Linked DNA regions of Bombyx mori. The protein of the gene in region 3 interacts with the protein of the main gene of each other region in a pairwise test. Links are inferred from orthologs where the notes say so. Each region holds a gene or a part of one and is shown on either strand. Other genes may lie near its edges. The genes, in order: JNK-interacting protein 1, fasciclin-2 and amyloid-beta-like protein.

The links.
Region 1: the proteins of amyloid-beta-like protein (region 3) and JNK-interacting protein 1 interact in binary tests that used the Drosophila melanogaster proteins (3 or more experiments, as listed by UniProt). The link is inferred for Bombyx mori from reciprocal best matches to the Drosophila melanogaster genes Appl and Aplip1.
Region 2: the proteins of amyloid-beta-like protein (region 3) and fasciclin-2 interact in binary tests that used the Drosophila melanogaster proteins (3 or more experiments, as listed by UniProt). The link is inferred for Bombyx mori from reciprocal best matches to the Drosophila melanogaster genes Appl and Fas2.

What each region holds. Positions count from the first base shown.
Region 1 is NC_085107.1:7,551,932-7,555,591, forward strand, and holds part of JNK-interacting protein 1, read right to left. Parts: intron 1,354-3,660; coding exon 1,099-1,353; intron 1,018-1,098; coding exon 817-1,017; intron 693-816; coding exon 575-692; intron 1-574. UniProt on the Drosophila melanogaster protein: The JNK-interacting protein (JIP) group of scaffold proteins selectively mediates JNK signaling by aggregating specific components of the MAPK cascade to form a functional JNK signaling module.
Region 2 is NC_085124.1:10,075,530-10,079,189, reverse strand, and holds part of fasciclin-2, read left to right. Parts: coding exon 1-95; intron 96-209; coding exon 210-357; intron 358-433; coding exon 434-626; intron 627-1,393; coding exon of another isoform or gene 1,394-1,482; exon of another isoform or gene 1,483-2,086; intron 2,087-3,660.
Region 3 is NC_085124.1:11,682,813-11,686,986, reverse strand, and holds the start of amyloid-beta-like protein, read left to right. Parts: upstream 1-1,266; 5' UTR 1,267-1,361; coding exon 1,362-1,427; intron 1,428-4,174. UniProt on the Drosophila melanogaster protein: During development, plays a role in the regulation of the neddylation pathway. Appl and APP-BP1 interact antagonistically during development.

The DNA.
Region 1 (3,660 bases), on a different chromosome or scaffold from region 3:
CTGTCGACAGGGACGTCTTAAACTAGGCTGGGGCCCTTGGGCACACAAGAATTTGAGGCCCTTTTGGAAAGTAAAAAAAGCGAATTATAATAACATTTTTTACTGAGTATGACCATTTATTATAGGTAATCAAATACAGTATGATATAAAAATATTAATTATATTAGAATGCTGCTGGTTTTTTGGTTACGATTACGATAATGGTTTCTTTCGGGATTTCTGTTGAGAAAAATATTTCATTATATCTTTAAAGTAAACTTTTTGAAGGATATCACTTTCCATGCCCATAATTGACAAATTACTCAGCCGTTCTTGTAACATTGTTGTTCGCAATTCATTTTTTATTCTCTTAAGCTGCGAAAATAACCGCTCTCGACTACAGTTGGTAACCAAATTGTCGGTCCTTCGGGGCCCCACTGAGAATGGGGGCCCTGGGCACGGGCCCCGTGTGCCCTTATGGTAAAGACGGTATTGGCTGTCGAGAGATTAACGGACAACAACATCTGGAACCCTACGAGAGATTTACCATATACAAAACTACGTTAAGAAAACTAACCCAAGATAAATTGCTCACCCTAATAAATATCGTTCCCTTTTTACTTTGGCATTTGCTGGGTCGAAGTCGTTGTAATCCATATCGACTGCGTAGGCGGAGGGAAAGATTCCTTGCTGTCCTGTTCGTAAATTTACACCTAAAACGAAAAACAGGATTCTTATTTATGAAAATTATTATACATAATATAAATAGGTGAGTTACATTAGTAATATCACTTTAGTTGCATAATCTCGAATGAATGTGTTATAAGATCGCCCTACCTTCGCACCATAGATCTTCTGCTTCTTTTTGAACATAAATAGGGTCCCCTATTTCCACCTCGATTTCATCGTGATGCCTAGGGTTAAATTTATGTAGGCCTCTGTGGGTTGCTTCAAGCATTTCTAGTTGACTATGAGGTACTGTGGTCATATTTCCTGCAAAATTCATTCCACTGATACTGCAACTGGACGAGGGCGACACTAAAAGAATGAAAAAAACATATAAATATTTTTAATTAAAGTACTTGACTGATTCACGTTTTGTTAAGTAACTGAACGAACCGTTTTGCTGTAAGGGTATTGGCGACAAACTCTTTGGACCCGTGTCGATAGGGGAATGTGCGGTGCTGTGTCCACTGTCGACATCTCCCAAGCTTTGCAGTCTCTCCGAATCTGGGCTGGAGTCTTCGTCGAGGAGATAGCCACATTTTAGCACGAGCAGTGGTCTGCTGTGACATCCTGGTCTTACGAGCATCCCGGTTAGAGCCCCAAGTTCATCAGCTAGAGATGCTGGTTGGCCACATGCTAGAATAGATGCTGTAAAAGTTAAAACGCCAGATGAGGAACTAAATCGTCACTTTAGATTTGTTACTTTAAAAAAAATATGCTTTTAATCCGATAATCAAGAAATCATGCAATTATATATTTGTCGATGTTGCATGTAAGCATTAAGGGCCACCAGGGCATTTTTAGGGTTCAGGTTTCATAAGGAAAAAATGGAACCTTCAAAGGATCACTTTGTCGTCAGACTGTCTATCAGTGTTTTTGTGTGTTCAGGTCGTTATTCTTATGAACACATATGCAGTTAGATTTAGTTCCAAATACAAAGGCTTTACGACCGAAGGAAGCCATACTCAATCTCAAGCTTTTCAGTTAACGCAATTTATAGAGCACTTTCTGTTACTCTAGTATAATGAAATATGGCAAGAGGTTATGCTCTTATAGCACAAGTAAAGATAAAAGTCTGAAAATATTATATAATTCGTATCTTCGAAGTCAAAATTATAAAAAAATATAAAAAGTTGTTGTTGAACCTCAGCCTCAGCCTTGGTCTGAGTACTCGGGTATTACTGTCCTTATTGTCTTTATTTTGTTTTTAATTTTTTATTATTATTAACAGTATTATTAAATCTCTATTGATATATTAATGTAATGCATGCTGTGATTGCCTCTAATTAGAGTTGCAGTTATCAATCGGTCTATACATGTCAATGTTATTTTATGTCTTACTGTAAACCCTGTCGGTAAGCCTTAAATAAATAAATAAATGAAATAAAAGTATTGTTTTGATAAACAAACTGCGTTATTGTTAGTTAGTGCAGCATTAGCTATTAAGTGGAAAATGAACGGGAGACACATTTTTTGACACCAAAGACAACTTGTCTTTAATAGGCATAAACGGGAAACCCAAATAACTTAATATTTGATCGCGGTAATTTCTGGTGTATTTCAAATTGAAATGTTCTGGCTCTGTTGAAATGTGAGGTCGAAATGTTGTCTAGAATAGCGCTCCATCTCTTCCCGTAGTGGACGTTAAAGGGATTCACAGTTTTTTTTTAATGTTGATATCCTTAAAACTGGGCAGCAGTGTTGTCTATGTATTAAGCTGCTTTCAGACTACGCTATACTATAGTGCCATATTATAGTATAGCAGCCTATACTTAGCCAATAATATATAGCACAGTATTGTGTGAACGTGTCCATATTATCATCAATGTACGGTATGCGATATTGTTGTTTATTTCGCTTTTTGTCGCTGCCTACCGCTTAATACTCTCCAAAAGCCTCTTTTAAAGAAGGACATGTGGTAGCGCTCGGGAAAAGCGTGGAGGGGAGCTCAATCCATAACCGGATGGCACGAGGCAAATGTGCTATGTGTTATAATAGTATATGCTATTATATTATAGCGTAGTCTGAAAGCGACTTTATAATAGCACATCGAGCTCGCCAACCGACGTTTTCGCCCGGTCTGAGGGTTCACCTCCGTCAGAGCGCACGGCGACCCTAGCTAACGTTTACTGGTAGTAAGGCGTGTTGGAAGCCTTACCACTTTTCTGCCTATTTTTGCCGCGAGTTGTCATGTTTTCCGGATTGGAGTACGGGACAAGCATAATACAATTGAGATTTCGACCTCGTATCTCAAGATGACGTAGCGGGAAGTAGACCAGGCACGGCATTCACTTTGTAATAAGAACTAATTTATACCAAATAAGGTCTGATCAAACTCAGTCATTTCGGCAATTAAAAAAAAACATATAATAAATAATCGTGTTATAAGATGTTTTTTTTTCTGTGTTAGATTAGCTCTGCGTATGTTTGATTGTCTGTGAGTGTTGTGTGTGCCGGCGTTTGTTTGCCTGGGTGTGTGTATGTATGTTTATCTCGGTAAAAAGAAATGATTATACTGATTATATTATCTATAAAACGATATATAATATTAATTAAAACTGATTTCATAAATAGATAGACTTGTTCGATGGGGTGGTAATTGTACATTTTTAATTTCTGCCACCAGTCGCTCAACCGCTTTGATTCATGACGTCAATGGACAGTGACAATGAATGTAGATTCAGGTAAACCGCATACAAAGTGTGTTTGCTCTGAATAAAAAAAATCCTTTTCGGCGGGAAAGTAGAGAGTGATGCAATATCTATCGTTTTCTTTTAGCAAGCTTTATCTTTTGTAACCGGACCAATTGTGTTTTAACTGTGTAGTTTTATTTTTATTTTGTAAGTTTAGGTACCCATATTTTGAAAATATATACCTACAAATTACCGAAGACTCTCTTCAAAAGAATCGATGTTATAAATAAATTCCGTGAATTTTACTGCGAAACCCACACAT
Region 2 (3,660 bases), about 1.6 Mb from region 3:
AGACCAATGTTTACCTATGACTTTAGATTCGCTGCAGTTAATCAAGTTGGCATTGGTAGTTGGGGATCTCCTATTACGGTTATCATGCCAAGAAGGTAAGAAAAATACACAAACTTTTTTTTATTTTGGTTCTGTAAAGCGTAGAATTTTTGATCATAGACTTTTGCATTCATTGCCTTTTTTTTTTGATAACCTTTACTATGATTCAGGTCACCACCAGAACAGCCGAAATGGAGAGAGAACCTTAGCTCGGAATCGCTTATTCACGGAAAATACGCAGACAGATATGAACTGAAGTGGAAAATACCCGCTCATAATGGGGAGCCTATTGACATGTACGAAATCCGCTATTGTCCGGTAAGTGAATCTTCCAATTAATTGGAGTACGTAAACGATTTGATAGATCTTTAATAAGCTAACCCTTTCGACGCAGGTTTTGAAGATAAGCGGCGAATGGCGTGTGTCGTCGGAAAACGAGTGCGTTACCCAAGAACTTAAGTCATTCGAAGCCATTACATACGAAGTCAGAGGGCTACATCCGGACACTCGTTACCGCATTCATCTGCGGGCTCATAACCAGCTCGGTTTCTCACTGCCCGCCCAACTGTACGTCCAAACTGCTCTTGGTGAGTACAATAAAGAGAGTAATGAAGTGCCGTTACGGGCGGGATTCTACGATGTCTACACTGCGTCTGAACCTTTAAAGCCCTCCTCAGCTACGACCGCTAACTATTATGTTCGTTCCCTCGTCGCGTCCTTTGTATTGTGTTTGTTTTTGTGAACTGCTACTGATTCCGAATTGTGTTAGTGCTTCGGTGCGCTTCCTGACAGTTGGTTTTCGATCATGTAATTATAAATAACTGTGTGAACAACTATTTTCGCATTCTAAACTTTTATTAGTTTTAAAATTGGTTATGCCGCTTCGATAAGTACAATTCTATGAGACGCGAGCTGTTAACCAGTTTGATCATTAACCATTGTTTATTTTTTCGATTATTTTGATTTGTTTAATTAAATTAAGTTTCGTTGTATTTCTTTTTCGATTTATTTAAGAATGAGATCTTGCCAATTAACTACATCAAAAAAAAAACAGATTAAGGTACAAATAAACGATAACAAAATATTTTACTTTCGTTTTTGATTCATAGTTAAGTTGTGAGATCTATGTTTTAGTTTTTAAGTTCATTGCTAATTTACTAAATTTAGTTTATTTAAATTTTCTTCATTAATGCCCTGTTATGTTAGTGTTAAATTATTGTGTATGGTAAGTTATGATTATTATTATTCACAACATCATTTTTTTATTTTTTATTTTTTTTTTGTAAATTTCATTTCATTTTTATTTAATTGAAATAAAAATGCTTATTTAACAATAATAGTAAATATTTTCTAGGTAACCCAAATGGATGTCCCAGCTATTTGAGATGGGCAAACACTAAACTGGACATTATAGCTACAGTTCTTGTATTATTCTTAGTTTGAATAAATAAAAAAACACTAAATTATATCTAACAAAGTCCAAAGTTGACTTATTGTTGTTTAGGAAATAATTATTGTGATAATATAATTTGTTTGTCTGTAAATACGTAACGGTGTTGATTCAATGATTAAAAATATAATAATTTATAATAGATCTTTGAAATTTTAAATTTGTTGTGCCAATTTTTTTAATTGAAAGTTCATAGAATGAAAAACGCAAGTAGTTTTAATATGTAATATGGCTATAAAAATTATCACTGCCATTTAATTCAAAATATTTTCCTTGCAATAATAAATAATGTAATGCCAAAAATTAAAAAGGCTTACACAATATAGACATAGATTAAGATTTAAGAGTAAACTTTTGTGTACGAATTTTTTGATGAGTATTTTGTCCTTTTGGTATAATATAAGTATTTTAAAAATAATGTAAGACGTTCCAGTGGTGATATCATCTGAGAGACTAGTAAACATTGAGATGTTGAGTGGTTAAATGAAAAAACAAAAGCGGTTAGATATTATACAATAACTACTACTAGGAGTGTGAGTGATTGTGATGTTTGAGTAAAAAGACCAATGTGAAACATAATAAATGTTTGAAAAACAACATCCTTAATTTATTCTGTCGCTAAAATAAATGTGTTAGTTTGTTTTATTGATTCAAAGTGATACAATTTGCAGCAATTCCTCGGTACCGTATTGAAATACATGAAAATTTAAAAAATAAATTAATCCGATTAAAATATTTATAAAATCTGAAGAAAAGAAAAACTATTGAGTGTAACAAAAATTATTATATAGTCTCTCTAGTCACACTTCGTTCTTAGTGCCGCTAATTGTATGAATAGTATCAGTGGTTTGAAATTACTCGCGTGCCGCTTATTTAAAATAGAATATGTGTACCATATACAACAGTACACCCAAGTTTTTATGATCCGATTAATTATATAAAAACGCATAAAGGAAAAATTTATACACAGATTTATACACAGACCTTTATTTAGTAGATATATAATTATAATTAATAGACTAATAAATAAATTAATATATTAACCAAAAGAAAGCTGTCAAGATGCTTATCAAGGAACCAATCCATTAGCCAATCCCTAACTGTTGACTGTTTGTCGAGTGTGTGTTGTGTCGCCCTCATGAGAATTGGGTAAATATTATCTTTTACATTAAATATGAAACCCTTAATTTAGTTCATAGTGATGCTGCATAGTTTTCTTTGGAATGTACTAATTACCTATTTGTGCATGACCTATTTAATACACCCTTCGATGAGTTTGTTTCACATTCTTCCACTAGCTTGTTCCATGCATCGGTGATTAACAAAATGTGATATCGGCGGTCAGTTTTCTGAGGCATCTTTATTTTACCATTCAAATTCATTTTTGTATTAAACAAGATATTTCGGATGAAAATTATCAGTATTTTATTTTCTGATGCATGAAATAGTAAAGATATTAGATTTTTTTATTTGAATTTTAATTACAGGGTGTTTTTCTTGTGAATTTAGTGAAAATATACCGATTATTGTTATATTTTCGCTTACAACGTTTTAAAAAAAGTTTAGGTGATGGCTGTCATGACCCCGAGCAATAGTGACCTTATATAATGTTTACGTTAATTTATTCCCAAGTTAAATAGATCTTGCTAATGCTTTAGAGAAAAAAGATCTATTGTCATGGGGTTTGAACATTTATTTCGCAAAAATTAAATATTATGGAATGTTTGCATCTTGACAACTTTACTTTTCTTATTATTATTTTCTCATAATTAGTATTTAGGTTAAAAATTTTATGCGTCATTTGTTTAACATCATTCATCATCATTATTTTCACATTCAAACCCCATTTCATGATAGCGAAGTGCTTACTGTTTGTGAATTCACATTTCAATACTCGTTCTGGAAATCACTTTCGGTAGCTATTGGTGATTGGGTGCACGTAATTTATTATTTGGAAGCACTCCCCATTTTTCACATTGATCGTAATGAATGTAAAAAGGCTTGCTGTATAGTTATATATTGAAATAAAATACTATGCATAGCGTTACGTTTATTACAACTCCATACTCATTAATCTAACATCCTCAGCTTCTACATGATGCATAAAACTAACGATACAAAGAGCAGTCGATGTTTGCCCGATGCTTAATAAAAATTTTATAAGTCTAAAT
Region 3 (4,174 bases):
CATGCATCCGATTGGTTTGAAACTTGGTATCCATGTAGAAAATACATGTACTTAATGGATAGGCTAATATTTATATGAGTGTTGGACTTCCTACACTAGTTGCGGGGGCGTTAATGATGAGAATCTTTGTGGGGGGAGAAATAATAATGTTAATTTTAAATGACCAGCGAAGCAGACGGGTACAGCTAGTCGTTAACAAAGTTAAGAAAAATTTAAAATTAAGTTCGGAGATTTTTACACTGACCGTGATACATACATTAAGTATGTTTATTCGGAATTCATTTTAAACCAACAGAAAACTTTGAAATTTGTACGTAGAAATTTAACTTGGTTAGTTAAGCTTACATTACATATTCGCACTGTGTCCATGTAAATCATATACTAGGATACTATACCTATAACCAACTTCCAAATATTTTAGAGAGATAATTAGCTCAAAGAGTTAATTAGCCCATTCTATAATAGAGTTGAGATTTCGACATCATGGCGCAATGATGACCCCGATGACCATTTAATACCGACGAAGTGAGCGGAAAACATAACAAAAATTATATTTTATAAAAGTAAAAATACCCCAAATAGTGTCATGTGGAATAGTGAAAATCGTAAAAACCGTGCAAAAATGCTTTAAGCTGTATGTTTAATAGTCTAGTAATATAACTAGAATTTATTGATAGATTATCGTTTGATAATCCTATTAAAGTACTAGAACCGTCTATAATGTTCGAAAATGACCTTCGACATGAGAAACGAGATACTCATACGGGACTTAACATCGGCCGTCGGTAATAAATTTTCCCAAGACAAAGTTGTCGCCTACCATGTACTTAATAAGACTTCATACGCATGTTACGAAAATTTATTAATACATCCAAAATGCCTACATGTATGTACGTACTTTACGCTTCGATGACTCATCGTATAAAAGTTGTTTGAACAGAAAATTTATGCTTAATTTTCACATGAATTTTATGAACAACAGAGTAATGTTAAGAGACTGTGGCCAAAGGAAACTGTTGTTTGGTAGTTAAATTTGAAAAAAAAATCGTCTGTTTAAAATGACGCATCATTGGAAAATCCAGACAAAGCTAGACGAAGACTATTCGTTATACCCTTCGATAGAGTCCTCATTGTGCGCTGCGTTTTTGCTAGTGCGCGTGCGTTATCCCTCTACGTGTAGCTAGCTCTCTCTGTCGCACGGGAGGGGCAGTATTCTCCATCTCTGTCCCGGGAGGGTCGATCTATACGACGCTAGGTACGACTACGGTGCCATACCAAGCCAGCAGTACGCAGGTTTCTGGCGTCCGAAGCGAACGTCAGTGGTAGCCAGGCGATTACAGGAACGCAACGCGGCCGCAAAAATGACGCGCGCCGTGCTTTTTATAAGTGTTTTTACCGTACTGTTGGACGTCCTCCACGCCGGGCAGGTGAGTTATGCTTAAGAATTTTGCAGGTTTTTATTATTTCGTAGGTTATCCGGCTGGTTTGGCATCGTTTCGAGGCATATGAAGCCGAAAATCGATGGCACGCGTTCACTAATGTTTTCAAGATCGTCGCAAGCTGAAAGGAAGCAGTTTACACGGCAGCGGATGCCATAAAAGTTGTTTTCGTTAACGCTTAGGTTTGAGTTTTTTTTAGGTATTCGTAGGTTGCGTAACACACGCCGGCGGTTTCGCCGACGGCCCGGAAAATTGGCTTTGCCGTCGGCAACTTTTTCAACAGTAACAAGAAGATTCTTTCCCTTATTTTTAGGACATATTCGAGTATATGTGAAGTTTTCTTTTTATTGCGTATACTTTTAGATAGGTCTTCAAGAGTAGCAGTATAGATCGGGATTTATATGGCAAAGAGAACGGATATATCGTTCTTTGGAATCTTAACATCAAAGATGACATGATAATGATCATCTTTACGCGTTATGTAATTTCTAAATCACGAAATGTTAGGGGTTTTTAAATAAACGTGGATCTTAACGTGTTAAAGCCTTAATCTAATACGTAAGCGCGTTGCAAATAATTGTTCGTTCGATAAATTCATAATTCCGCATTTTAAATTTAGCATAAAATGATTTCGAAGTTGAAGTTGTTTTAATTATTAACTGACAAGTTTATAAAGCTAATTATCGTTCTAAAAAATCTTTTTCTCGATAAAACTCATCACGTTGCCTTGAAACTTGTAAGTATACTTGAGACCTTAGAAATTATATCTCAAGGTGGGTGGCGCATTTACGTTGTAGATGTCTGTGGGCACCAGTAACCACTTAATACCAGGTGGGCTGTGAGCTCGTCTAACCATCCCAGCAATAAAAAAAACTTGAATATTTGAATAAATGAATTATAAGAGTAGGTATATTGGTTTTACTTTAACCATTTTTGTTGGAATTGAGCAATATTAAAATCCTAAGGATTTTTTTTAAATGGATTTCGAAATCCGAAATGTTTCAGCAAAAAAATATTTGTATTAAAAAAATTAAATGTAATAAAATATATATTTAATAAATACAAATATAATTTTCATGTAATAATTATAAAACAAATACGTGGAATTGAAGAAAACACTGAAAGCTTTAAATAAATTAATTTAAAATTATTTTTTATATAAGTAGTGATTTATATAAATAGAGAACAACTAAAAAGACACAAAAAATATAATAAACTTCAAATTAAATTTAAAGAAAAAAAAACTCTAATTTATCAACTTCCGAGATTCGATTTAATCAATTACCAAAATAATTAAATACAGGTTTATGTTAAATCATGTGATTTAAAGAAATATATTTAATATATTATAACATTTATATAAATTAATATTACAGAGCTTAAATCTATAACTGAACATAATATGAGATTAAGTCGGTTCGTAGTTATGATTCGAAATCCAAAAAAAGGTCCCCCTTTAAAATTAAATTACCATAAATATGGTACATGTATAATTATCATATCTAGACCGCATTACTTATTTTTAACTGTGGTAATATTTAGGGTGACACGCCAGGGACTTACGAAACATGAGCCGTGTTATAAGTATAAGCTTAGAACGATTGTAATCTAACACCTACAACGTATATTATACCAAAATTCTATTTCAACATGAGTAAAAGAAAACTCTAAATCACTGAAAAGACTGCTGTGATATTTTTTATATATAAATAAAAAGATTTTCTAGCCACAACACTACTCTTCCACTTTTTAGGAATTAATCATTAAAAATAAGGCATTCGATTTTCGTTTAGCTTAGCTCGCGTGGACTACACCTTATAACGCGTGGGAGAAGATCCGTACGCAGTAGTGGGATGAAAGGAGTGGTTTTCGAGGGCTTAAACTATTTCTATATCGATACAGAAAGTTCTTGAAAATCGATTAAGTGATGCAGAGTAATTTGGGCGTGCAGGAAAACGTAATCGACGTACTTTGGTATTTTAACTAGTTACGCAAGCGATTTAGAATTGCATTTCTATATTAAAGCGCTGTTATTGACATTAACCATATGAAAATTATTAACGTTATTTATCGATTAGGTACCACTATAAAAACGCATTTGTAATATTTATGAAACTTTTTAGAATGTAATTATTTATCTATCTCACGTTTTGTACACGGGCCTAGGGATAGACCGAAAAAAGCATAACAACGTAAAAATACACCGAGAACGGACATCTCTTTGAATTTTTAATTAATAATAAAATAGTGACGTGTTTTTTCCTCACTAATATTCTAGAAATTAACTCGGCATTACCAATTTTACATGCATTTCTTAACATTTTATGATTTGTTTAGTAATTTTATACGGACTTTTTATTTTTCATTTAATCATTATTTTATACAAAGACAACAAAAGACATATCAAAAGAAACTCTATTCCAACCGGGTGTGCACAATACACTTTTTTCTTTCTTTTTTCAGAAAAAGAAACAGAGTCTAAGAAGTAAAATATGTAGAAAAATGTCCGAATTCTATTTAGCAGTTTTTGCGTGATGCGCGCACAACGAGAGACTATTAGTATCATTTTTTTATACAGATTTATAATATTGTTAGAATAATACCTAACTGTCTACTATGGTGGTGGTTCTAAAAGAAAATATGCTATAAACCATATTTTTAGTTTCACACGAAAATGACGTCATAACTGCGGTATAATTATCATTGTTAATATCATATCGAAGTCGAGGTGAGGT